7 linked regions of the Macaca mulatta genome follow. The protein of the gene in region 7 interacts with the protein of the main gene of each other region in a pairwise test. Links are inferred from orthologs where the notes say so. Each region holds a gene or a part of one and is shown on either strand. Other genes may lie near its edges. The genes, in order: TLE5, TFG, ZNF488, HEYL, CSN3, GCM2 and RBPMS.

Region 1 (4,127 bases), on a different chromosome or scaffold from region 7:
TTTGTATTTTTAGTAGAGACGGGGTTTCACCGTGGTCTCGATCTCCTGACCTTGTGATCCGCCCGCCTCGGCCTCCCAAAGTGCTGGGATTACAGGCGTGAGCCACCGCGCCCGGCGGAACAGCCTTATTTCAATGGCCTCTTTGGGGCCTGTTCTCTGAATGGCAGAAAGAGGGATACTTTCATAACCGCCACCAGGTCCCATTCCTCCTCTTCCCACGGCTCTCCAGGATTCCCACCTCACTCAGAGCAAAAGCACAAGTCTAAAGCCAGGTGCGGTGGCTCACACCTGTAATCCCTGCACTCTGGGAGGTAGAGGCGGGAGGATCACCCAACGTCAGGATTTCAAGATCAGCCTGGCCAATATAGTGAAACCCATCTCTACTAAACATACAAAAATTAGCCAGGCATGGTGGTACGCACCTGTAATCCCAGCTACACGAGAGGTTGAGGCAGGAGAATCGCTTGAACCCGGGAGGCGGAGGTTGCAGTGAGGCAAGATCACGTCACTGCATTCCAGCCTGGGCAACAGAGTGAGACTCCATCTCAAAAACAAACAGCTGGGCAAGGTGGCTCACGCCTGTAATCCCAGCACTTTGGGAGGCCGAGGCAGGTGGATCACCTGAGGTCGGGAGTTCAAGACCAGCCTGACCGACATGGAGAACTCTCGTCTCTACTAAAAATACAAAATTAGCCGGGCGTGGTAGCACGTGCCTGTAATCCCAGCTACTCGGGAGGCTGAGGCAGGAGAATCACTTGAACACGGGAGGCAGAGGATGTAGCGAGCTGGGATCGTGCCATTGCATTCCAGCCTGGGCAACAAGAGTGAAACTCCGTCTCAAAAGCAAACAAAAAACAAACCACCAGGTCCCATCCCTCCTCCTCCCACAGCCTTCCAGGGCTCCCACTTCACTCACCCAAAAACCCAAGTCCTCCCCATGGCCCACAAGTCCTTGCTGGACTGGCCTGCTTCACCAGCTACAGAGTTAGCAGGGCCCAGTGCAAAAGAAAACTGAAAGGCCCCTTGTTCAAAAATGATTAGGAATCTCAAAATGCAACACTAAATATTAACCCAAGCACAAGCCCTGCTGAGGAGGGGGGGGGGCCCGGGCAAATGCATGAAGCCCCAGGCCCTGCCTCCCTCCGGCCTTCCTGACCTCCGCCCTGGCACCCTGATGCCAGGCACAGTCCTGCCCCAGGGCCTTTACACCTGCTGGTCCTGCCTCTGAGTACCTCTGTACCCCATCCCCCTGTTCTCTCTCCTTCTTTGGGTCGTTTTAGGGGCGGAGGAAGCTCTCTCTGATCCTCCCTGCCACCTGTTTAACTTTGCATCTTCCTACCCTGCCATCCTCCCGGCTGGTTTTTCTGCAGAACGGTCCCCACCATCTGACCTGCTGGGAATTCAGCTTGTTAATTTGTCTCTGTCTGTCTCCAGGCACCACCACCAGAGCAGGGACCCCCCACCCCCGCCCCCACCACAGGGCCCTGGAGCAGCAGGCCCTGGCACACAGTAGGCGTTCTATAAATGTGTCGCAAGAATGGCTTCCCTGAGAAAGGCGGCATTACCGCTGCCTTTCTGCAGAAAAGGAAACTGAGGCTCAGCGAGAACCACCGCCCAGCCAGAGCCAAGGTCACAGAGCACGTCCGTGGCACGCGTCCAGGTCGTGCCACGGCAGGGCTGGCGGCTTCGACGCGGGCAGCCGGGTCCCTTTTCTTTGACAGATGGGGAAACCGAGGCCCGGCCTGCTGCCGGGTTGGGGGGGGTGGCGGGGGCCGCGGCCCGGGGCGGGGGCGGGCCGGGCCCAAGGTCACCGCGGCGGGCGGGCCCTGGGGAGGCGGGCCGGGGTGGGGATCCGCAGGCCTCCCCGGGCGCGCGCCTCCCCCCCCTCGGCGGCGCGCACGGGGCACGGGCGGCGGCGGCAGGTGGAGCCGGAGCCTCAGCATCAGCCGAGCCGCGGCCACTGCCGGCGTCGCCGCCATTAGACAATAGCGGTGGGGCCGGGGAGCGGGGAGGCGGGCGGCGGGGAGGGGCGGGGAGGGGCGCCGGGCGCGCAGGAAGCGGGGCCCGGGGCGCGCCGGGGCCGGGCGCGCGGGGAGGGGGCGCAGGAAGCGGGCGAGGCCGGGCGCGGGAGGCGGCGGCGGCCCCGGGAGCTGCCGATCGGCGCCGGGACAAAGGCGCGGCCGCCCGGCGCCCCCAGCAGCCCGAGCCGGGGCGCACAGCCGGGGCGCAGCCCGCGCCCCCTGCCGCGACTGACATGATGTTTCCACAAAGCAGGCATTCGGTAAGCGGGGTCCGTCCGGCAGGCGCCCCCACCCCGGATCCCGGCCCTGCGCTCCCCACCCCCGGCTCCCGGCCCCGCGCCCCCCACCCCCAGGCCCGGTGCCTCCGGCCCGGCACCCCCCCCAACTCCCCGGCCCTGTCTTCCCTCTCCAGCTCCAAGCCCGGCGCGACCCCCCTCCTGCCGCCGGCCCCCGGACACCCCCCAGTTCCCGATCCACCCCAGCTTCCGGGCCCCGAGCCCCCCCGTCCCAGCTCCCGGCTTGGCGCCCCCCCCCTCGCCGGGACAGGCAGGGCCTCGGACGGCCTTGGCCTCGGGCCTGGGGCGCTCCGGGAGCCCCGCCAGGCACCTCTAGCGCGGGGATCCTTTGGGGGCCTGTGGTGGGGGGGCGATCCGAGGCGCACCCCTCCCGGAAGAGCGCGTCCCCGAGGAAGGGCGCTGGGAATCTGGGGTGGGCCCCCCGGGAAGATTTCGGGCGCCGAGAGACCCCTCCCCCAAGAGGGCTTTGCTGGGAGGACTCGCTGCCCCCCAACTTGGGGAGGGGGCTCCCTAGGGTGCGTATCCACCCCCCTCGGATGTGCACTCCCTCCCGGCGCTTTGGAGGGGCGGTAGAGGGCGCACCCTGCCCCCCATCTAGGGCAGGCCTTAAAACGCACCCCCACTGCTTGGAGGTGGCGGGGGTCGGGGCGGCTCCGGGCGCACCCACCCCCTCGGCTTCCCCCGGGAGAGGCGGGGGGCAGGAAGCGCGGGTGGGGGCCGCGCCAGGGGCCGTAAACACGGGCCCAGGAAGTGGGGCAGGAGGGGGGGCGCCGCAGCTGCGCGGCCGCTCCCTCCCGGCTGGCCCTCGAGGGGGGTCCAGCCCAAGCCAGGGCCTGACCCGGGCCGCCCCTTCCCCACAGGGCTCTTCGCACCTACCCCAGCAACTCAAATTCACCACCTCGGACTCCTGCGACCGCATCAAAGACGAATTTCAGCTACTGCAAGCTCAGTATCACAGGTGAGCTGGGGGGCCGAGGGTCCCTGCGTCCCGAGAAGGTGAGCCCCCCACCCCATTTTTTCTGCGCAGATGGCAAGGCTGAGGCCTGGAGGGGAGATTGGGAAAATAATGTATGCTAGACTCTGACCTAATACTTGACAAATAGGGAATTCATTTTTTTTAAACAGCTGCATTCTGTGGAGGACAAAACTGAGGCACAAAATAAGTTAAATAATTTGCCCAAAGACCCAGCTGTGTGGCTTCAGAGCCCCTCCCTCCTACCCAATCCCCCCAAGTCCCCCCTTGGATAAAAGACAATTGGAGTTAGGGCACAGACTCGCCGTCCCCCCAACCCCCAAAACAAACATTTTGCAGCCTGGTCATCTCTCTTTGCCCAGTTTTGGAGAAAGGGTTCCCAGCATCAGTCAGATTCTCCCAGGTGCTTCTTTCAGAAATCTCCTGGCGTTTCTGAAGAGCTTGCCATGCTGTGGTATCTAAGGGGAAGGAACTATTTAGTCCTTTTACACTTAAAGAAATTTAATCCCAGGCCGGGTGCCACCGGTGGCTCACGCCTGTAACCCCAGCACTTTGGGAGGCTGAGGCGGGTGGATCACTTGAGGTCAGGAGTTCGAGACCAGCCTGGCCAACATGGCGAAACCCCGTCTCTACTAAAAATACAAAATTAGCCGGGTGTGGTGGCAGACGCCTGTAATCCCAGCTACTTGGGTGGCTGAGGCAGGAAACTTGCTTGAACCCGGGAGGCGGAGGTTGCAGTGAGCAGAGATCGAACCACCACACTCCAGCCTGGGTAACAGAGAGAGACTCGGTGTCCGAAAAAAAACAAAAAAAAATAAAGAAGAAGAAACTTAAGCC
Region 2 (3,500 bases), on a different chromosome or scaffold from region 7:
AGAGGGCAAAAAGAAACAGAAGATTAACAACAGCTTTTCCAAAAAAGTTATTTACCTCCTTTCATAAGAAATATTAGATGAAAAAAATACAAGCTCCTGGATAAAGAGAAACATTTTACTGTTTTGGTTTTTTTTTGGAGCCCAATGACCTATATCCTAGTATCAGATACCCACTGGGCACTCTGGAAATAACAATTATAGGAACTAAGGCTTTATTTTATAAAAAGAAACTTAACTAAAGTTATAATCTCAAATTTAACATTTCATTTTTACTGTCTAGTGGTCCACTACATGGAAATCAAGCCAACCATAATTAATTCATAATCTTCCATAAATAGCACATTAAAAACATTTTTGAATTTGCTACCTTCTATTTTAATATGTATTACTTATTAAAATACTTATTCAAATGCTTACAGATAAAATGATGTATATGGGATCTGCATCAAAATAATACAGGAGGGGAGCCGGGTGCGATAGCTCATGTCTGTAATCTCGGCGGGAGGCCAAGGTGGGTAGATCACTTGAGGCCAGGAGCTCAAGACCAGCCTAGCAAAACCCCATCTCTACCAAAAATACAAAAATTAGCCAGGCACAGTGATGCATGCCTGTAATCCCAGCTACTCAGGAGGCTGAGTCACAAGAATCACTTGAACCCAGGAGGAGAAGTTTGTAGTGAGCTGAGATCGTACCACTGCACTCCAGTCTGGGTAACAGGAGTGGTGAAAGTGTGTGTACCATAATTATATGATACCATAAGTTGGTAACTGTTGAAATTGTATGTGGGTTTATGGGATTCATTATAATGTCTACTTTCGTATATACTTAAACTTTTCTATAATAAAATGTTTAAAACAACAACAACAAAAAACAAAATGTTAAATATTATAAGCAGGTTAAATTTAAAATCATGCTTTTCTTCTAAGGATACTAAGATATTCCACAGGCATTTATACTACTGTCTTTCGAAAGAAAGAGTTCAAGAATAACCTACATTTTACAAATAGGAATCCAAGTCCAAGATACAAAAGACATCAAAACAAACAAACAAAACACACGAACAAGTAAACAAAAGGACTGTTGTTAATCATTTACTCAATTAAGGAACAATGATTATCACTTTTGTTACCAAGTAAGTAAATGAATATCTGTTCTTAGATCACCCCAGTAATCAATACAAAATGTATCTTCTGAAAAAAACTAAGTGCTAAAGGAATATAAATACCCACAGCACACACTGGCTGGCAGCTCATTCATTCCTAACATACCATTCCAGGCTACCCTAATATTTTCTAAGTTTTTGGAAAAGGAAAACCCCTAGAACTATTCCTTTAAAACACGTCTACCAGTTATCTACCTTCCCTACCAAGTTCCTTCCTCTAATCCCAAGAGCATACCACGTCACTCTTACCAATTGTTTCCCCTCACATCTCACTACCTATGCCTCTTTTCACTTATCACAAACTATAACGATCAGGAAACACACTATATGTCCTACTACTTGCTCCATTAACTGCTGGAGATACTGCCAACAGGTCAATCTTCTATCTAAGGTAGTTTACACACCATTTGCCTCTTGGAGGAAAACAAGCATCCAAGAACCACTGTAATAGAGAGCTGAAGACCACAGGCAGCCATGTTTCTTGGTGAGGGTAATCCACAGGTTCTGAATAGCACTGATAGCTGATTGGCAATTTCATTTTGTGGACTAGATTTCAGTTTCTGATGTAGGGCGCTTTTTTTTGTTTTTGTTTTTTAAAATTAGAACTATCTCTAAAAATAAAATGCAGATTGTATTATTCTTATATCATCTTATCATCAGATACGTCAGACAGGACACAATAACTAGAAGATGGCCATACAAGAAAACAACACATGGCATGACTTCCAAGATGCAGAGAAGAAACCAATTTTAACATCTTTTACGTTAACATAGGTAAAAAGCTAACAATAATATGTATAAAAATACAGAAACAAAGAATGAAGTATAAACAGTAGCTAGAAATAGGTGAGGAAAAAGTTTCACCTAAACCAACAAATTCATAAATCCATTCCTGAGAGTAGAATGTGGGCCACTGTAGCTAATTTCTGAACAGTACTGGCTATACTGGTTAAATTCTCATCTACATTTCTTAATATTTTGCAGATGGTTAAATCCCCTGAAATTATATGCAAATGTTGTGTCAGCATCTATGAATTCTTCTAGAAAAATTGTCCCATTATGTTCTGAAATAGAAGTGGAACTAGAAATCACCAATCACCAAATATTTATTAACTATCTATCATTAACATAATTCCACATGATTATTAGAAGACAGGAAGAGAGTAATGATGGAAAATACGTCTTTATTTAAACTGTAACTAAAATAAACACAGAAAACAAAAACTCCCAAATTATTTAATGGCCAAAAACAGAATACATGCCATTTATCCACAAAAATTATCTTGTGTTAAGCCCTTTACATGCAGTCATCCAGACCAGACTTTTTTTTAATTACTATTTCACAATATGGACAGTTCTAAACATATGAAAATTATAAGCAAACAAGTTGTAAAAAATAATGAGTTTTCTTTAAATGCAACATCTAAGAATCTTAAAAGAAGAAAGCAGTTTTTTAACTCTACTTTCAAGTCATAACACATACTTAAATTTCAGTCCACATTTTAAAATACATTTGGTCCCAAAATTATGTCAGTTCCAAATGTCGATACTTCTTGCTTTATCTTAACACAAATAGTACATGTCATCTATAAAATGGGGGAAAAAAAGTTTTTCTTTAAATATTATTAAAAATTGTGTTTCAACTTTACAATGTACCATTTTTAATGAATATTACTAATCTAAGTGATTTTTAGTTGAAACTACTTCCAACACTACGTAATATTCATGAAATGATTTTCAATTCCCAAGGTTCATTACTTACCTATTATACTAAAAAGGGTTCATGTGTCAAGAGGATTTGAAAACTGACCTGTGTAATAAATCCAAAAGTCTAAGACTAGTTGTGAACGAATCACCCAGAAAACACTTTAAAAATGGGATTTCCAGTTCCTAAACTCCAGTAGGTCTATGATGAGATCCAGGAATTGGTATAATGAAACCTCCTAGTAATCTTGATGAACAGCAAGGTTTAGGAACACAGACATAAATACTAGTAGAGAGGCAGAGGAACAAGAGTGACACTGGGGGTGCCATCCTTCTCCTACTTAAAAAGAGTTTTTACAAACCTCCAAAAAGACGTAAGAACAATAAATCAGAATACAATGGATTCAGGGTTTACCATTTTCAGGAATATTGGTGGAAGGTCCAGGTTCTCCAGGTGGTTCCAAGCTATCCAATAAACGATTCACTTTATTTCGAAGTTCTATCAGTTCTCGACGGAGATATTTCACCTGACTTGATTCAAGGGGTCTTGGCTGGCCATTAACTGAAATAAAAACATTTATTTGCTTAAAATTAGAAGTTCATGAATAAGTATACTAATAATATGCAACAAGGA
Region 3 (4,180 bases), on a different chromosome or scaffold from region 7:
TCCCAGAGGCTGACTGGTGGCACTGGGGAGATGAGCAATTCCTGGTCAGCCCCTACAAGCTCTGTGGCCAGCTATGCCTGGACCCCTCTAGCAGCAATGCCTGCTGCATTCCAGGAAAGCTAAGTGCAGGAGACTGCGGACACAGCCAGTACCCATGGAAGCAGGGAGAGTGGCCCTAGTGCAACATAACTTGGCCATGTGGACCCTCATAGGGGTGGATGCAATCTCATCACCCACTCAGATACCTGAGACTGTGCAGAAGCAGGGCCAGTGAAAGCAGAGGGCAAATCCAGTGCTTCAATGGGGCCCTGCTGTGCAGATGGAGAGTCTACCATGGATATGACTGAGCATGGCCAGGACACAGAACAGGGAGCAGTGTTCTGCCAAACAATGCCAATAGGCAATGGCTGGTGCTGTGTGGAGTGATATTTTAGATGTTACATGTGCCAGGGCTGCAGCAACATGGAAGTCACATAACGGGACTGAATTAGCCCTGGTCACTCAGGCTCCAGGGCACAACTTGTGTTCCAAATCAGCCCTGCTACTACCTGCCTGACCTCAGACAAATACTCTGGGTCTCCATCTCTTCATAAGTAAAACAAGAACAGTGATCTTCACTTCAGGCACTCACGGACGGGACTCAACAGGGCTCTGTACATGCCAGGCAGCAAGAGCACAAGGAACAGCAGCTCTTTTCCTACTACAACTAGAGAATAAAGGTGGAGCCTGAGACGGTGGTCCCAATTCCACTGGCAGCCTTCTGGGAAAAAGTCCATGATTTTACCTCAGCTACTCCTTTTGACATTCCCAGGTTCCAACAATAGCATCATCTAAGGATAAAAAGACAATGATGTTCTTACAGAGACACTGACCACTAATGAGGAACGATCAGTTTAAAAATATTGAAATTCATCCTTTTTAAAAAAAAAAAATTGGTGTGATTACATATTTCAAACAAAAGTTGCCACTTCTTGGATACCCGAAAAGAAATCTGCCAAGCAAAGCAGACATGATGATTCTAAATCATTTGCAAAGTCTTTTACCCCTCCCCCGAGAATCCTCACATATTGGGGATCAGGGATTAGATATAAAAGGCAATTTAACTTTTTAAACCAGAAAAGAGCCTCACAAATCACAGTTCCACGCACATACCTATGAATTTGTCCAAAATATCTAGCACATGCAAATTCTTTCACTGAACACACTGCAATGTACCTTCATCATACTTAATTTCTGTTTAATTCTGTGTGATTTATCTATGGCCAAATTTCCATTTCTGTATCAATCAAAAGTAAATGAGTTGAATTTTCATTAAAGGTCATAATAAACTACAATATCATGTTAAATTATTTCCAAGAAGCAAAAGCTTCAAGCTTTATTGGTAATTAAGATCTTTACAAACAAACAAAGGCTCTTTTATAACTTAGTGCATATATATTATGTATTTGTGTGTGTTTGAACATATAAATATTATGTGTCATAAATATCATTAAAAATTAAATCACATATCTCTGATAAGATTACATTTTAACCAAGAAACAAAAAATTGCCTCGATATAGTTCTATTTTATCCCTCAAAAATGAATGAGGCTTGATTTTCTAGAGTTCGTCCTTTATGCATCTATGACAATCTTTGACACTAACAGGAAATATTTTCCCCTTGGCCCTCCTATTTAATGTACATAAAATCATTAATTTCAAATGCCATAATTACTGCCATAAAATGCCTAACGTCTCCCTCAGGAGTAATTAAGTAAGTTCATTTCTGTACATCAGTGGCATTGGCAACTACATATTTTAGAAATTTACTGTTAATTTCTTATTTCCAGGGGCCCTCAGATGTTTCAGGTGCAAAGCTCTGGCCTCCCACTGTCTTCCCACAACCCTGCTCTGAATCCTGTCCCCTCCCTCCCCTGCACCTGGCATTGCATAACCTGCCCAGAAGGCAGGTGTGGGTGGGAACTTCCCTTAAATGCTTCTGCACGGCTTAGCTTCCTGCTGTGCTGTCTGTGTCTATTAGTAAAGGCAAAATGTCAAGGAAAGGATTCAATCAACCCCTTGCCTCTAAAACCAGGTATGTTCTTTCAGCTCATTCTAAAAACTCAGTATAATGTGATCATTTAGCATTGTTTTGTTTCCCAGGAAAGGCAGTGAACAGGTTACACGTCCAGATCTTTGGATATAATCTGTTGGAGAAGGGATCTGGGGCTGATGCATGGTTCTTACCCTACTGCCCAGCGCAAGCCTGGGCTGAGAATAACAGAGCAATACACGATAAACCCCGGGAGGGGCAGAGGGAGGGACGAAAACAACTGCAGCCTGAAAGTCACCCTAGGAGGAAAAAAAAAATCATAGGCAGAATTCTTGAGTGCTGAAAAAACAGCGGGGAGAGGGGGAAGGTGAGGGAGAAGGATAAAGAAAGAGAGGAAAAGAGGGAGAGGGAGAGAGACTGACACGGAAGGAAATGAAAACAGGAAGACAATAAAGAAGAGATAGAGGAGAAAAAGTGAGAGAGGAGAAAGGGAACAGAAACGGGGATGAGAGTCGGAGACGACATGAGAGAGCTAGAGGAAGCTGGCGACATTGGGAAGGAAAGGACCCCACAGTCAAAGGCAGGACTCAACAACCCTGTCCTGGGGAAAGGCAGTGGAAGTGAGATGGACCCGGCCGCCCGCGCCCGCTCGCGGCTCTGTCCCTGCAGACAGGAGGGCGCGCCTCACCTGGGCTCTCTGGAGATGTGGAGCAAAAGGTGCTGGGGCAGCACAGCCTCCTCCCGGCCAAGAGCACAGCGCGTGGCTCTGAACTTGGCGCTGGAGCCCTGAGGGTGGCCAGGTCCCGCCCCAAACCCGCTCCCGCCTTCAGGGCGTGGCCTCGGCTTCGCCCATCCCCAGGGAAGCTCCAGCCTTCGGGGCGGGGCTTGTGGGTGGGCGACCCCGGCGGGGGAGGGCGCTGCTGGCCAAAGAACCCCCAACCCCGGGAGAAAACCCCCTTCTGATCCTCTGGGCTGCCCGGCCCTACCCCGGCTCAGCTCCCAGCTGGCTGGTCAGGGTCTGGAGCCAGCGCCTGCAGGAGGGCGAGGGCGTCCTTTGGAGGCGGCGCCTGCTCCCGCCGACCCCCTCTGGTCCTGGGCGCCAGACCTCGCGCTCCTGGGCCCGCGGGGCCTCGGCGAGGCGGACGGGGGCTGCGCGCGGCGCCTGCGGCTCCAGTCTGCGCCGAGGACCCCCGCGGCCTCCAGGCCCTCCTTCCCCGCGCAGCCTGGCGGCCCCTCGAGCGGCACCTCCCCCCGCCGAAATCGCCCAGCTCTCCCCGCCAACCCCCGGGAGCGCCCGCAGCCTCTGCTCCCCAGACCCCAGCTGTGACCACGCAGCGCTCTGCCAGGAAGGCGGGCTCCGCGACTCGGGCCGTGGTGGAAAATGACAGTTCAAGTGCGTTAAAATTAAGAACTTATACTTTGATTAAAAAAACAACAAACGGAGTGAAAAAGCAAGCCACACACTGAAAGAAGATACTTGCAGCAATTGATAAAAGATTAGTATCCAGGATATGTACTTTTAATGAAGGAGAGGAACACCCAAAGCAAAGAATGGATACAGACATGAATAGGCACTTCGGAGGAACCATTAGCGACCAAAATCATGTGAACGAAGGAAGTCTCTAGAGTAATTAGAAAATGCAAATTAAAACCACAAGGAGATGTTTAATCATTAGGTATAAGTGTTAAAATATAACAATAACAAGTGTCACGGAAGGCATGAAGCAAGAGAACCCTAATATGCCCCCAGCATATAGTAACACCCATATTAGTACAGCATAGAAGTACACCCAATTTCATTGATTATAAAACAACACTAATTTAAGATATTCTATTATACTAAATACAACTCCAAAAGAGGGGGGAAAAACTGACAACCAACCAACTCAATGCTTTTCATCACTTGTAATTTTTAACATATAAAGAAAGATATATTTTAGACTGTATTAATCCATTCTCACACTGCTATAAAGAACTGCCTGAGACTGGGTAATTTATAAAGGAAAGAGGTTTAATTGATTCACAGTTCAGCATGGCTGTGGAGGCCTCGGGAAACTTACAATTGTGGTGGAAAGGGAAGCAAAACAGGTCCTTCTTCACAGAGTGGCAAGAAGGAGAAGAATGAGTGAAGTGCAGAGTGAAGGGGGT
Region 4 (2,679 bases), on a different chromosome or scaffold from region 7:
CCAGGAGAGCTGGGTGGATAAGCTTGGATAACAGCGAGGAGGAGAGATGGGCTGGAGGAGGAGGGGGCCTCTGATGGCTGGAGAATGTGCCTTCACATATGAGCCAGTCCAGGAAGCAAAGCAGAAAAGGCAGTGCCCTTTTTTGGGCTCCTGGTAAAAGAACCTTCCTTATTCCTGGGGCAGGGTGATGAAGGGGCAGCTCAGAAAGCCCCGATTTCAGTGATTTCAGAGACCCAGGAGTGGTACAGCATGGCTCCCCCTGGCCTCCCAGCTGGCCCTGGGGAGGATGAGTTGGGGGCGGGAACAGCCACATAAGCAGCGGACCCTATAGGACCAGGGGGTGTGGGGGAGGAAGATCGCAGGAGGGGAGTGATGTGGCTGTTCCTGGCAGCCCTGCTGCTGGGGGCTACAGGCACAGGGGTCGCTGGCCTCTCTAGGGGGCGGGCCCTCCGGGTGGAAGATGCCCCTCGACTGGGCAGCACATTCCTCCGGGCTGGCAGGATGATGCCTGTGGCTCTGCGAATGGGAGCGGTTCGGAGGGCTGGGATGGGGTAAGCAGGAGAGGAGGTGTTGGGCAGGACAGGGCCGGGCACTCTTCCCAGGACGGCGAGCTGGTTGCTCAGGGCTGGCAGCCCCGGGCAGCTATGGAAGAAAGACCAGGGCCAGGCAGCGAAGGCCAGGGGGCCAGCGTGTGTGGGCGAAGGCTCCATCTCGGCTGCGTAGCTGTTGAGGTGGGAGAGAAGGCGAATCCGAACGGGGTCTGCACGGCTGCTGGGCCCTTCAAGGACCCCCAGGTACCTGATGACCTCGGTGAGGCACTCCCGAAAACCAATGCTCCGGAAGTCAACTGCCAGGGCTCGGGCATCAAAGAATCCTGCAAAGGGAGGCGTGATGAAGGTCATGCCAGGTGTGGGGAGAAGCAAGGGGCCTCCGTCTGTCTGTCTGAGTTCTGGACCTGCCTCCTCCACTCACTCCCTGGGCAGCCTTGGCCATGTCACCCTGACTCTCTAAGCCGGTCTCCCCATCTGCAGAGTGAGAACAAAAATCCCTGCCTGGGGTGGAGGGTGGAGGGTTATAATGATCAAATGAATTCACTAAACTATGAAGCATTATAAAATGTAAAATATTGCTTGCATCACAATTCATGATTAATGCAAAGAAAAAACTTTGTGGCCAAGATAACTTCATTGAAGTAAATACTTGACAGATATGAAAGGTTGTGCACTTGAAGGTATAGAACAACCCTGCCTGCTGAGAGGGGCAGATGCCCAGGAAGGGAGGTGGCAGCAGCAGCCATCAGAGTGAGGAGGCCCCTTGGAGAAGGCAGCATAGTGTAGCAGTGAAGTGTGAGGTCGTCAGAGGCCAGGAGAGCTGGGTTCAAATCCTGGGTCAGCTACTTAACTAGCTGCCTCATTGTGGACAAGTCTCTATCTCTCTGTGCCTCAATTTCCTTAGCTGTAAAATGGGGATATAGCAGTGCCTACTGTATAGAGTTGTGAGGGTGAAATTAAAATAGTGCACAGAAAATGCTGAATAAATGAAAAATTAGCTATCACTTATATTACTGGCTTGACCCTGTTGGCATCTGAGTTTGTCCCTTGGCTCAAAAGGCAATCTGGAAATCAAGACCCCACTGTGACCCTCAGCTGCTCGGCCAGGGACCCTCTCTTTGATGGATAACCACGTAAACTTCCTGCACAAGTATTCACATCCTCACTGCCTCTCCATACCTGTTCCTCTCTTGACCACCTTCTGGGCAAAGACAGAACAACCCCAGTCAGCACTGGTCTCATGACGATGGCAGCAAATATCTGGTCCTTGGTTCATGGCCCCCACAGAGGAACAGCTCAGCTGGAGACTATGTTTGGAGCCAGGTCAACTTGTGGGCAAGAACCAACTCTACTCTACACTTAGCCATGTAAGTTCAAGCAAATCCCTCACCTTTCTGTGTTTGCTGTTCTTTTTTTAGTTTTATTATTTATTTATTTTTTATTTTTTTGAGACAGAGTCTTGCTGTTGCCCAGGCTGGAGTTCAGTGGCACGATCTTGGCTCACTGCAAGCTCCGCCTCTTGGGTTCACGCCATTCTCCTGCCTCAGCCTCACGAGTAGCTGGGACTACGGGTGCCCGCCACTATGCCTGGTTAATTTTTTGTATTTTTTAGTAGAGATGGGGTTTCACCGTGTTAGCCAGGATGGCCTCGATCTCCTAACCTCCTAATCTGCCCGCCCTGGCCTCCCAAAGTGCTGGGATTACAGGCGTGAGCCACCATGCCCGGCCTTTTAAAAATTTTTTTTGAGATGGAGTCTTGCTCTGTCCCCCAGGCTGGAGTGCAGTGGCCGGATCTCGGCTCACTGCAAGCTCCGCCTCCCGGGTTCACGCCATTCTCCTGCCTCAGCCTCACGAGTAGCTGGGACTACAGGCGCCCGCCACCACGCCCAGCTAATTTTTTGTATTTTTAGTAGAGACGGGGTTTCACCATGTTAGTCAGGATGGTCTCGATCTCCTGACCTCATGATCCGCCTGCCTTGGCCTCCCAAAGTGCTGGGATTACAAGCATGAGCCACCATGCCCGGCCTGGGAGTGTCTTTAAAGCCACTGTTCCATTACTTTGTTGTAACTGATGGGCTTAAAATAACAAAATGAGTTAATTTGTGTCCTGCTACAATCCTGAGATTTG
Region 5 (4,275 bases), on a different chromosome or scaffold from region 7:
TGTCCAGTTTTGCAAAGCCCCACAAAAGCTACATTAGTGTTTGAAGTGAATGGATGATACCATGGTAAACATGTTTTTATCTTAGTGGGAGAAAAGATTATTAGCACTCTCAGGTGTTCTTAAAATATATTTTCCTGTGAAAACATGTCTTCAGAAGTGTTCTGAGTGTCTGCTACTTGTAAGTTAAATAATTCAATACTCAACTGAAAAATCATTAACACTCATGATTTTAAATCAATGGCTGAGAAATTACTATGTGAAATAGAACACCTTCAAAATTTAGGAATGACCAGATCATAGTCTTTCAACCATGGACCCTGAGAATCAAAGGAAAACACTGTGACTAAATAGTTCAGATAGAATGGCTGGTGTTATTACTTTAGCAACTTGGTTTAGCAATTTTAAATTCTGTCATCTCTTTTTGAACTGCAAAAACCAACTATTCTGAGAAACAGAAAATCTCATTTTACTCTGTGTAATCCAAATAAGTATTCTACGGTTTAGAATATTGTTCCTAACTTTCTAAGACATGCAACAGTTCTAAGAAACAGATAGGAACATAGACATAATTACAATGCTGATATTATTTCTTATTTGTGTTCTGGCAGTCTTACATTAATTCCTGTAAGTTCCTCAATCTGGTCAGTTCTTCACAGCCAAAATGAAGTCACAGTTAACATTATTTCTTGAGAAAAACAAGTAAAAGAAAATAATTCTTTCCTGAATTATCTAAACAAAATTTTTGTTTAGCTATTTTTTGCCAAAATATTCACAATGTCAGTGGGTTTGTGATGTATGCTCTAAGTCAAAATGACTTTCCTTAAAACAGAACAAATATCTCCAATTCAATAATTTAATAATGTTTTTTCAAAATGGTTCACCTATATTAATGAAATTTAAAATCTTAAAAATGTTTATTCATGAGAAAATAATAAATCACTAAGTATGTAGTCAATGCATATGGGAGAAAATGTGCTGCAGCTCAAATGCAAATAGTTCCCCACTTTACACCGATTAAAATGTTTCATATACGGGTTTTACCTTTATAAGGAGGTGCTCTTGGGTATGTGTGAGATGGCCAATTATTTAATTTTTAAAAATCAATAATTGTAATTCTGGAAGGAAGAAGACCAACCACAGTCTATACCAGATGCAGTATCACTTGAAATCCAGGTTCTTAAACTAAAAGAAACAATTAAAATGTGAAAGTATTGTGACTATTTTTCATTTCAACAGCAGTTTTAAGTTCAAATACATAGGATAAGTTGAATAAGAATACAATTAATATTTTTTAAAATTCTTCTATATTTCTTTATAAAACAAAAAAGATTGTTTAAAAAGATATGAATACTCTTTTTTCAAGCTTTATGAGTGATGACTTTACATCCTTCTCCGCATTTCATTAAAAAGGATTGACCCAAAGGTGACCCTGCTGTCATCAAATCTTTCCTTTCTGTCATCATCTTATTGGGTAAAAAGTAGGAGGGAAACAGAATAGCGTGACTCAAGGTACTAATATCCTTTCATTGGTCTGGTCTTCAGTTATTTATCTTGGGTCTTCTCTGCAGCTGACAAGCCAACTCAACCTACTGCCAACCAAGACCTGACTGGCACGAGGAAAGGTAATGCTGCTGAAACACCTGAGAAAAGAAAGTGATTATTTTCACAGTAGTTAGTTGGGACATCACCATAGTTATTTCAGAATCACATTTTCTTCCTTTTAGTTATTGTTAAGCTTGAATATGACCTAGCATCACTTTAAAATTAATTTCTAACCTAAACCTAAGTTCTGAATGGTGTTATGATCAAATTTATTTTTAACTTTAATCTGGGTTCCAGTCGAATTCTGACACCAGCTAAATCATAGTAGACATTGTGAATTCCGAACAAAAAAGGCGTTTAACATATTCCTACAGACAAACGTTGAGAGTTAATTCCTCAGGAAGTTGGACTCATGATAATAATCGCAATTGATCCCTTAATAACTTTCAAAATTTATTTCTATAAAAGTCATAATTTTATGTGTTATGGAATAATAATTTTTTTAAAACATGTCTTTCAAATACTCATGAAAGCTGTATAACTCTACCATTTCACAAACTATTTCTTCTTACCAAGTGATGAGGGCAAATGCAAATGTAGCTGATATGCAAAGTATGGTCTTATCTCTGTAATTTTTGTTTGTGCCAAAAACAAATTACTATCATTTTATAGAATATTTTCTTTTGTTTACATATCATTTTACTGTGTGAATTGATAAGGGGTCTGTGATTCATCATGAAAATATTTTCAGTCTATAATCCTAAAAGATCACTAGCAAGTGAAGCATTAATAAGGAGCTTCATCCCACTTAAAGAAATACGAGTTTTCTTAGATTGTTCAAATTGATTACAAATGAGTTCCATCGAATGGAAATTGGATGACATCGTATGGGCAGTTTTGAAGTCACTTCAGTAGACAGCCTTCCTAATCATTATTGCCTGAGAATCAGACGCTAATGGAGTACAATGTGCTTTCTATCCCCTATCTGAGACTTTAATTCTGTGAATCTTTTTTGTAAAGTTCAAGTTTGTGGTGATTTAAGTTTATATGAGTATATCAATAACAATAGCTGCAACAAGATGAAGTTAGTAATTACTTCCTAAACATAATATATACTTAAATATAAAAAGTTTGGGGTATCATATATTATTATTGTCTAAAAAGATGATTTATTAAAAATCAAATAAGAAGGTATGACACTGTATATACTCTTTTAGAAAAATAAGGTTAATTTATTTCTTTAAATATTTTAGTCAAAGCCACTGTATCATCTCTATATTTCCTATTAAAACACTCGAGTTAATCATATCGGTTATGATTATTAGAGAAGCATGTTATAAAGGAAACAGTTTCATAACCCTCCACTTCCCGTTCCATCCTACATACTTCTGTTGGATTGATCATGGAATTACAGAATTTTAGAAATCTCTAAGTTCAAACCCTAGTTTTACAGGTAAAAAAATGTAAAGCCCAGGAAACGGAAATCACTTGATCAAAGTTACAGAGGTAGAGAACTCTGGTCTAGAACTCAGTCCTCCAAAAAATGTATAGTCATACACTTTCTAGTCCGAAAACAATCAATTGTTTTCTGTTGTTTATAAAGCCATGCCTAGCTTTTTCACCCATCATTAACTTAAAGGTGTTTACTTTTTCTGCTCTAAACTTTCCTTCCAATCTTGTATTTCTCTTCTCATACAAGATTCCAATCAAATGTTCATGGTGATTCTCAAGACTTTCTCCTCTACTTGAAATACTTCTCTCCCTATTAAACCCTGCATAGGCAAGCCTCGCCTGTATGTCATTTTCCCACACAAAGACTGCTGCTTCTCTTAACTGAAACTTTTTTTAGTAGAAAACCACTTTTGTGGCATTTTCTACTTTTTTCCCTCTTACAGTTATTCGTGTATATTTCAACACTCTTCCTAAAATTGATGCTACTCATTGCATCATATTTACCTTGATAATCTTAACATTTGACATAGTAATGATAATTTTATAATTCCATTAATGCTGTCAAAAATTAAATTCAGAAATTTTTTTACTCCAAGTTTGAGTTTTTACATTCTTTTGTTAAAATAAATTTTTCCACATTGGCTAAATCTACTTGTAAATCTGGCTTTTTTTCTTAATCAAAGCAAACATTGTATTCAAGTCACTCCTAAAATTCTAGTAACAAATTATTCTAAATTAATTTTTTAAATGTATCTTTAGGTGCAATAATGAAGAGTTTTCTTCTAGTTGTGAATGTCCTGGCATTAACCCTGCCTTTTTTGGTAAGTTAATTTCATCTAACCAGTTTGTACTGACTTTAAGAAATTTTTATTTAAGGGCTCTAACTATTCAAATTTCTTAATACAGTTATACCTCATAGACCAAAATATCTACAAACTTGTTATATTTAAGGTTAATTTTTTAAATATTATTTCTATTATAAAATCAAAGTCATGTTCTTTTGGATATCCATTTAGTTCTGTGAATTAAGAAATCATAGTTAATCATATATAGGAAACTTTTAAAATTCTCATACTATAGAGAAAATACATTCTGTGGGGAAAACAATACTGAAAACATTTTAAAATTATAAATGCATTAAAGATAATTCAGAAAGAATAACTACAGAAATCATAGTCCGGGAATCAGAAATTATTTTAATTAAGTTCGTATCTCACCCAGACTCCAATGTCTTTATGGAAACAAAATCCTTCAAAGGTCAACTTTGGTTAAGCTTTTTCA
Region 6 (4,225 bases), on a different chromosome or scaffold from region 7:
GCTGGAGTGCAATGGGGTGGTCTTGACTCACAGTAACCTCCGTCTCCCGGGTTCAAGCGATTCTCCCGCCTCAGCCTCCCGAGTAGCTGGGACTATAGGCATGCTCCACCACGCCCAGATAATTTTGCATTTTTAGTAGAGACGGGGTTTCTCCATGTTGGTCAGGCTGGTCTTGAACTCCCGATCTCAGGTGATCCGCCCGCCTCGACCTCCCAAAGTGCTGGGATTACAGGCGTGAGCCACCGCGCCCGGCCGAGAAGACACATTTCTAAACCCAATTCAGCCTTTTGTGGAGTCCAGTTCTCTTTCTACATTTGAGGGGGCCTCAGAAACCCAGAAATTTTGCGTGTGTGTGCGTGTGTGTGTGTGTGTGACCACGTCATGGTCCGTCCGCAGACTCTTCAAGAACTTGAATGCCATTCTCCCTCCCTCCTTCGGATAGACAGCGCCCCGCGTGCCCGCACACACCCGGTTCACTTACCTGAGGCATCTGTGGATCGTTGATGTCCCAGCTGAGCTGCATCCCGTATGAGCACACGCCGACCGTATCCTGCACCGCGGCTGCCGGCATCTGCCCAACTCGCTCGCGCTTTCCGCCCAGGGTTCTGAAAAATAGAAGAAAAAAGGAGAGGTGCGCCAGGTGATTTTTTTCCTACTCTTTAAAGAAGAAAGTGGGGTATGTGTGTGAAGGGGAGGGGCAGAGAGAAAGAGAGAGAGATTGTTTAGAAATCTGGAAGTTGGGGACAATGGTTATGGACCCGGGCGGGGCCCTGTCCTCGGCCGCGGTGCTGAACGGTCTCCACCCGAACGGTAGCATCGACGTCTGCAGCTGATCCCTCCTTTATAAAGATGCATCTCCGGGGGACTCCGCCCTGTTTCGCCTACCTCGCTAGCGCCCACGCTCCAGGGGCCGGCCACCACCTCCACCACAGACCCAGGAACGGAGGTGGAGGTTAAACTCAGCCCTGGAAGCAAAGGGAAACTGCAGCCAGGGGGTGGGGGTGGAGAGGGTAAGTTGGAATGTATCCTTTAAGTTTAAAACCTTATTATTTTCTTCTCTTTTCTTCTTTTTTGTCTCACTCCGTTGCCCAGGCTGGAGTGCAGTGGCGCCATCTCGGCTCACTGCAACCTCCGCCTCCCAGGTTCAAGCGATTCTCCTGCCTCAACCTCTCGAGTAGCTGGGATTACAGGTCCGTGCCACCACGCCTGGCTAATTTTTGTATTTTTAGTAGAGACAGGTTTTCGCCATGCGAAACCCTTACCAAGCTGGTCTTGAACTCCTGACCTCAGGTGATCCGCTCGCCTGGGCCTCCCAAAGTGCTGGGATTACAGGCATGAGCAACCGCACCCGGCCTATTTTTTTTTTTTTTTTTTTTTTTCTAAACGCATCCAGCTTCCCTGATTTCGGAAAGGGGCTTAGATGGAGGCTTTGGAAGCAGAGGCTTTCCAGCAAAGTCCCCTGAGAGTCAACACTCAATTCCAGTAGAGCATGGGAACCGTGCATGGGCCCCTCTGCCGTCCGCGCGCTCCCTACGCTGAATAACCGTGCCCATGCCTCCTAGTTACGGGTCAGCCCATTTTGGGCCTCCATTGCCGGCTCTTCCCCTAACTATTGTGCGTGTCTCGGAGTCTTCGCTCGGCTGTTTGGGATGTGTGAACGGGCGCCACGCCTCCGCGTATGCTCGCGAGCCCAGGCGCCTTCGCGCTCCCGGGGACTTCGGAGGGACCTGGCCCTGCAGGAACGGAGTCCTACAAAGTGAACCCGGAGGAGGTGGGGGGAAATGAGCCTGGGGTAGGTAGGAGCCTGGGGAAGGACGGAAAAGGGAGAGGGGTAAAGTCCCGAAGAACTCCTAGCTTTCTCCACTGCTTTGGCTCCCTCTGGGTCTCAGCTTCCTTATCTGTTAAATAAGGGGTTATGGTTCGGGTAGCTCTCAGTTGCCACCCACCTGAACAGAACTCTTTTTGAGACGGAGTCTCACTCTGTCGCCCAGGCTGGAGTGCAGTGGTGCAATCTCAGCTCACTGCAACCTCCGCCTCCCAGGTTCAAACGATTCTCCCGCCTCAACCTCCCGAGTAGCTGGGACTGCAGGCGCGCGCCACCGCGACCAGCTAGTTTTGTATATTTAGCAGAGACGGGTTTTCCCCAAGTTGGCCAGTATGGTCTCGATCTATTTACCTCGTGATCCGCCTGCCTCAGCCTGTCAGAGTGCTGGGATTACAGGCACCGCGCCCGGCTCACAACTCTTTTAAAACTCTTAAAAAACAACAACAACAACAACAACAACAAACAAACAAACAAACAAAACTTTCCTGATATAGTCGTGGAAATTTTACTCCATTACAGTCTTGGGAGGCTTTGGGGGATTAGAGAATCGCGGTGGTGCGGGGGTGCGCAGGACTATGTGGGTTTTCCGGGACTGGGACGAAACCTTCCTCATCTGAGCAGCCGTCTCGCCCAGGGCTACTATGGCACTTGGAGACCCTCAGTTAAAAAAAAAAATCGATTGAAGTGACTAAAGTCACTCTGACTACGCCAGGGCCGGATTCTGGGCGGCCAGGGAAAAGGGTTTCTGGAATTTATTCCCCGCGCCCTTGTTTTGCAGCTGCACGCTTCCATTCCCAGCCCTAGCCAGAGAAGAGGAGCCAACTCCTCACGGCGAATTCCCTTGATAGAGGAGGATGAACCGAACCCATGACCCTCCAGACCTGGGGAGCGACGCGCCCTAGACCTCGGCACCGCAAAGCCCGCGCTCGGCACACGGACGGGTGCTGCGCGGGACTCTGCCGGGAGGGCGCCCATGCCAACGCCTCTTGCAGGATTAGTGCCTTCGGTTGGCAAAAGGCGGATAAAGGAAGAGCGAAACAACCTCAGGAAGCTAAGGGTGGTCCACACTCCCTGTCCTTTTACTTCCCCAGCCAAAGGCACAGTGAAGCTTGCTTAGAAAAGTCGATCCCGCGGCTGGGCGCTGTGGCTCATGCCTGTAATCCCAGCACTTTGGGAGGCCGAGACGGGAGTATCGCTTGAGCCCAGGAGTGCAAGACCAGCCTGGGCAACATGGAGAAACCCTGTCTCTTCCAAAATAATAATAATAATAATTTTAAAAAGCTGGGCATGGTGGCGTGTGCCTGTAGTCCCAGCTACTAGGGAGGCTGAGGCGGGAGGATCGCTTGAATCCAGGAGGCAGTGGTTGTAGTGACCTGAGATAGCGCCGATGCACTCCCGCCTGGGCGACAGAACGAGGCCCTGTCTCAAAAAAAAGAAAAGTGAAAGAAAGAGAGAGAGAGAGAGAGAGAGAGAGAGAGGAGGGAGGGAGGCAGGGGGGAGGGAGGGAGGGAAGGAAGGAAGGAAGGAAGGAAGGAAGGAAGGAAGGAAGGAAAGAAGGAAGGAAAAAAGAAAAAAGAAAAAAAAAGAAAAGGAAAGAAAAGAAAAAAGAAGAAAAGAAAAGAAAAAGAAAAAGTATCCCGGTCTGTCACAGAAGCCGGCCAATAGCAGCGGACCAGCGAACTCTGTTGGGGAGAAAGGACAACTTTGAGCAGTTCCTCGCGATTTTTTCCTCCCTTATCTTCAAGCTTGGGTCCTCCTCCCAAGCAAAGCTGAAGGGTCCTAGCAGAAGAAAGTGATGTGTTCATTCCCAGCCTCCTTTCTCCCGAAGTTCTCCCCTCCTGAAAGGTCCAGTTAGTCGTCAGGGTTTCTGATTAAAATCACTCTCAAATGGTCGCCACTAAGGTCCAGTTGGGAACGAAGAGATGTGTCTACTCTTCACCCACCAGGTTCATTCACAGATTTTCATCTTATTAACTGACTGCCAAAGGTCCCCGAAACTCCTGTTGATTCAGTTGCTTTTCGTGTTGTTATGTCTTCCAAAATTGAATGAAAATTTATTGATCATCCATTTTAAAATATATTCTTTCATTAAATGTTGTAGTTTAAGATAACTTATCCTTTCAAATGTTCTAAAAATAACTTTAAAATGGTGACTTAAAGTTACCTCTGAGAATGCATAGAAATTAATTTTTGGTCTTATTGCAGTGCTAGAATAGTTCCTGTCTCTGTGCTTTCGGAATGTTCCTAGAGAGACCTGATCCGTCAAAATGTAAATAAATAAAACTTTTTTATGTTAAAAGCAAATCAATTAATTTCTAAAGGGATTCTGGTATCCAAAGAAATGTCATAGAGCCTCTACCATATTTACTTTGAGAAGAATTAAAATATGCATTTCAAGTT
Region 7 (3,500 bases):
AAAAATCCATGTCTCAAAATAGAGCATAACATTGCTAAGAAAAACAAAATTATTTAAAGCCTCTCCAAAGACATTATAAGATTTCCAAAACAAAAACTGAATTATCCAATATGGGGAGATGCCCCGTAAAGGCTCCAGTCTGCTCTACCTCCAGTTAATAAAGATTCTCTTGGGCCCTTTGGGTGAAGGTTAAGTGCTGATTCCCTTTGCTTTGCCTCCAAGTCTCTTCTTACAGGCTTCCCATCTACTTAGAGAAGAAAGATCCAAGGAGTCACTGGAGTGAGGCCTTTCCAAAATTCCATTAAAGAATAAGTCTGTGGTGAGCCAACACCTCGGAGTGGAAAGAGTCAGGCCTGGGAGGCAGGTGACCTGGGTCTAGTCATGGCAGAGCCACAGATTGTGGGCAGCTCCCTCCATCTTCTCAGGCCTGTTTCCTCATCTGTCAAATGGGTCAGACCAGCTGATCTGTAGAGCCTCTACTAGCTCATTCTGATTCTCATACTGCACAAATAAATTTAAATAACGGAATGTGTTCACAGAGTCCATGCCTGCACTGGGAATGACTCCAAACAAGAAGTGGCGTTGAAAACTGGTATCAGATGAGAGTCCCACCAAATCTGGGACCGATGTGGCAGAGCTAAGTGGATTCCAGTTTGGGAAAGTCTCAAGATCAAGAACTCCCAGGGGAGGGTGCCACCATGGGCAATACAACCCATTAAGTCAAATGGCTGAGTCCATCTAATCTTGGCACTGTCTCTCCCCATCCTTCCTTACAATGGCATGTGCTTTCTAATCTCTTGAGACTCTTTAGGCCCTTCTCTTACCATACCGTATCTCCAGAATTACTTCTGATTTTACCCATTACATGAATGAAGAATGGGCAGATGTCATATCCAAAAGCCACCATTCCCAGTACTTTCTGGCCGTTGTCAACTCTTGATATGGCTATTCAGAAGACTATGCAAACCACTGTTTCACGGTATTTATTAACATTTGCCTTAACTGCCACGTGATCTGTACCCGGCAGTCTAGCAAGAGGAGACACCATCCAGAGCAGGGGTGGGAGGTGGCAAGCAAAAGGGGCTCTTAGTTGTCCCATGTCATCCACACATTTATCCGCAGCCTGCTACAAAGATCCTAATGACTCAGCAGAGAAACCCACAGGTTTACATTTTATCCCCTCACCCCGTTACCTGCCAGTTGTGAGGGTTCTCAAGCATTGACATGGAAAAAGGAAGAAAAAGCAGCAGGGGAAGGAGAAGCCAAAGGCACAAGTAATCCTGGCTCCTTTATTTTCTGTGCCATGTACTCTCACCACCACCACCACCTACATTTTTTTCTTCACTACTTGTACTACTTTCTCCCTTCTTCTCCCAACACAGAGGGCAATCATTACTGGGGCTCAGGCACCAAAGGCAGCCCAGGAAGCCGGGTCGTCAATGCACGCACAATGTGTTGGTAACTCAGCGAAAAGAATTAAAAGATGTTCAGCCAACAACAATCTTGACCCCATGACTTTCGAGAACCCTCACCGAGGGCTGCTTCTAGGTGGTCTTTATCAAGACAGTGAATTCTGTACAACATAAAAGAGTTTTAAGTCAGAAGGAAGTTTTCTGGGAAGCTGTTTATTTCATCCAGCCTTGAAAACAAACACTGAGCAAAACAAGCAAATGAAAACTCTGCCTGTCCAGCCTAATCATTTTTGAAAATCTAAAATTTAAAGGCTGAATTACACATGCAGAAAGATAAATGAAACCTACATACGTACTTTCTATTTGTTACTGGTCATCAATCTTTGCAGGCCAAAGAATGAGTGATCTCCAAAGGTGAATCTTTACACTGATTACTACTACTTGCGCTAAAAGCACAGCTAAGAGAATATTTTCTCCAAGGGGAGAGGAAGTGTTAGTATGTAGATAGTAACCTTTGTGGAGAAACAGGAAGTTTGTTTATAAAAATCAGGCTATTTTTAACTAAGAAAGCAAGCTGGTCAGAATAGAGATCTCTACCTTGACCTGTAATTCCATCTTAGACACTATCCTGTACCTCCTTTTCTACAGGGTTTCCTGAAAATGGAGAAAAGGAACCCTTAATCTTTCCTGTAACATATTTAAGAAAGTATAGCCTTCGCCCATGGAAGCTTTCCCTTTGGTCAGAGATTCTTCTCACAGTACACGAGAGTGGAAAACTCTCAACACACAGAAACACGCACAGACGCACATATCCCCTGCTCCCAGCACACACCTTCCTCTGTAGCCCTTCCACACAAGGCACACACGTGTACGCTCCGGTGATGCCCTCTAGCTAGCTGGGAGCCAAGTGGATAAACTTGCCCCAGTCTCTCATGTGCGATATGAGGTGAGATCATTAAGGAAGAGAGAGGTGTCATTTGGGGCAAACATCAGGCAGTGGGTGATATCATTGCTGTCAGACGATCCTCGTAAGTCCTGAAGGAGTGTCAGCTTGATTTAGAGGGGATCATTAATCTCTTGAAGGTGGATCTGTTAGCTGGATAGGTGTTAGTTGTATGGTGTGCTCTGGGGAACCAAGTTTGAAAGGACTGGAGGTGGAGTGAGTGAAGTCGTGGCCGATGGGTATCAATTACCTGGGCATGCAGTGAAGCGGGATAGGTGAAAGCAGGAGGAGGTAGAGCAGGCGCTAACTCCGCTGGGTACAGAGGGTACGGGGCCCACACTTCAGGGCTACTGGGGTAAAGTGCAGGCACTGTGAGCTCATCTGCAAGAAAAGAATAAGGCGAGAGTTAGTGGTTACCAAACAGCTAGTTTCAAATCAGAAAACAAAACACCCAAAAACCCCGAGCCCCAATCAATGTCAGAAGCCAAATGACTCTCATTCTTTTCACAACCTGTTGTTTGTTGGCTTTGGTCCCATAAGTGCTAAGCAAGGAACGAAAAATATAACAAGAAAAGTAACAAGCATCTGCTGTCTGTCTGGCCTGCTGAGATCTCAGGCCTGGACTCCGCCTTGAACACTCTGATGTCTTTCCAACTGTAGCTGGGGAACCCAAAACAGTGGGAATTTCCTGCACAAAACAGAAAATGTGGCCCTCTGAGGAAAAGGGAGAGAAAGAACCAATGAAAGATATCCCATGAGAACCCACCGCAGAGCCTTTGGGAAAACAATGGCCTAACGGCAGGGCCTCAACAGACCAGAACTGGAAGGCTTTTCTGTTTATTGGCATAATTACTATTGACAAGTCAGTCATGATCATCAAGCATTTTCCATGTAGCCCCCAGAAGTACAGGGCCAAATACTGTGACCACAGGGCATTTAAGATCTTAAAAATTCAGAGAATTGAGGTGAAAAACCTTGAGAATCCTGATTAAAATTACACTCCACAAAGATGTAAACATTTCCAGTTGCTCTTTACAGACTAACTTTTAGGGGGAAAAAGTGAGTCATGTTGCCAAGCGCCTGGTCTAAGTGTTCCTCAGGCAGCTCCAATTCCACCCAGGTCAGGCTGCAGTTGGCCCGATTGA

Evidence for each region.
Region 1: the proteins of RBPMS (region 7) and TLE5 interact in binary tests that used the Homo sapiens proteins (3 or more experiments, as listed by UniProt). The two-hybrid records come from large-scale screens. The link is inferred for Macaca mulatta from reciprocal best matches to the Homo sapiens genes RBPMS and TLE5.
Region 2: the proteins of RBPMS (region 7) and TFG interact in binary tests that used the Homo sapiens proteins (3 or more experiments, as listed by UniProt). The two-hybrid records come from large-scale screens. The link is inferred for Macaca mulatta from reciprocal best matches to the Homo sapiens genes RBPMS and TFG.
Region 3: the proteins of RBPMS (region 7) and ZNF488 interact in binary tests that used the Homo sapiens proteins (3 or more experiments, as listed by UniProt). The two-hybrid records come from large-scale screens. The link is inferred for Macaca mulatta from reciprocal best matches to the Homo sapiens genes RBPMS and ZNF488.
Region 4: the proteins of RBPMS (region 7) and HEYL interact in binary tests that used the Homo sapiens proteins (3 or more experiments, as listed by UniProt). The two-hybrid records come from large-scale screens. The link is inferred for Macaca mulatta from reciprocal best matches to the Homo sapiens genes RBPMS and HEYL.
Region 5: the proteins of RBPMS (region 7) and CSN3 interact in binary tests that used the Homo sapiens proteins (3 or more experiments, as listed by UniProt). The two-hybrid records come from large-scale screens. The link is inferred for Macaca mulatta from reciprocal best matches to the Homo sapiens genes RBPMS and CSN3.
Region 6: the proteins of RBPMS (region 7) and GCM2 interact in binary tests that used the Homo sapiens proteins (3 or more experiments, as listed by UniProt). The link is inferred for Macaca mulatta from reciprocal best matches to the Homo sapiens genes RBPMS and GCM2.

The regions. Positions count from the first base shown.
Region 1 is NC_133424.1:3,855,194-3,859,320, reverse strand, and holds the start of TLE5 (TLE family member 5), read left to right. Parts: upstream 1-1,327; 5' UTR 1,328-1,524; coding exon 1,525-1,752; intron 1,753-1,938; exon of another isoform or gene 1,939-2,254; coding exon of another isoform or gene 2,255-2,281; intron 2,282-2,525; exon of another isoform or gene 2,526-2,832; intron 2,833-3,177; coding exon 3,178-3,275; intron 3,276-4,127. UniProt on the Homo sapiens protein: Transcriptional corepressor. Acts as a dominant repressor towards other family members. Inhibits NF-kappa-B-regulated gene expression. May be required for the initiation and maintenance of the differentiated state.
Region 2 is NC_133407.1:182,877,746-182,881,245, forward strand, and holds part of TFG (protein TFG), read right to left. Parts: intron 3,429-3,500; coding exon 3,282-3,428; intron 1-3,281. UniProt on the Homo sapiens protein: Plays a role in the normal dynamic function of the endoplasmic reticulum (ER) and its associated microtubules. Required for secretory cargo traffic from the endoplasmic reticulum to the Golgi apparatus.
Region 3 is NC_133414.1:61,512,849-61,517,028, forward strand, and holds the start of ZNF488 (zinc finger protein 488), read right to left. Parts: upstream 2,801-4,180; 5' UTR 2,721-2,800; intron 2,075-2,720; exon of another isoform or gene 1,998-2,074; intron 1-1,997. UniProt on the Homo sapiens protein: Transcriptional repressor. Plays a role in oligodendrocyte differentiation, together with OLIG2. Mediates Notch signaling-activated formation of oligodendrocyte precursors.
Region 4 is NC_133406.1:201,156,812-201,159,490, reverse strand, and holds part of HEYL (hairy/enhancer-of-split related with YRPW motif-like protein), read right to left. Parts: intron 875-2,679; coding exon 201-874; 3' UTR 1-200. UniProt on the Homo sapiens protein: Downstream effector of Notch signaling which may be required for cardiovascular development. Transcriptional repressor which binds preferentially to the canonical E box sequence 5'-CACGTG-3'.
Region 5 is NC_133410.1:63,651,972-63,656,246, reverse strand, and holds the start of CSN3 (kappa-casein), read left to right. Parts: upstream 1-1,475; 5' UTR 1,476-1,622; intron 1,623-3,753; 5' UTR 3,754-3,761; coding exon 3,762-3,815; intron 3,816-4,275. UniProt on the Homo sapiens protein: Kappa-casein stabilizes micelle formation, preventing casein precipitation in milk.
Region 6 is NC_133409.1:172,240,460-172,244,684, reverse strand, and holds the start of GCM2 (chorion-specific transcription factor GCMb), read right to left. Parts: upstream 2,801-4,225; coding exon 2,656-2,800; intron 1,805-2,655; coding exon 1,567-1,804; intron 606-1,566; coding exon 482-605; intron 1-481. UniProt on the Homo sapiens protein: Transcription factor that binds specific sequences on gene promoters and activate their transcription. Through the regulation of gene transcription, may play a role in parathyroid gland development.
Region 7 is NC_133413.1:32,321,015-32,324,514, reverse strand, and holds part of RBPMS (RNA-binding protein with multiple splicing), read right to left. Parts: intron 2,737-3,500; coding exon 2,606-2,736; coding exon of another isoform or gene 2,459-2,605; exon of another isoform or gene 1,606-2,458; intron 1-1,605.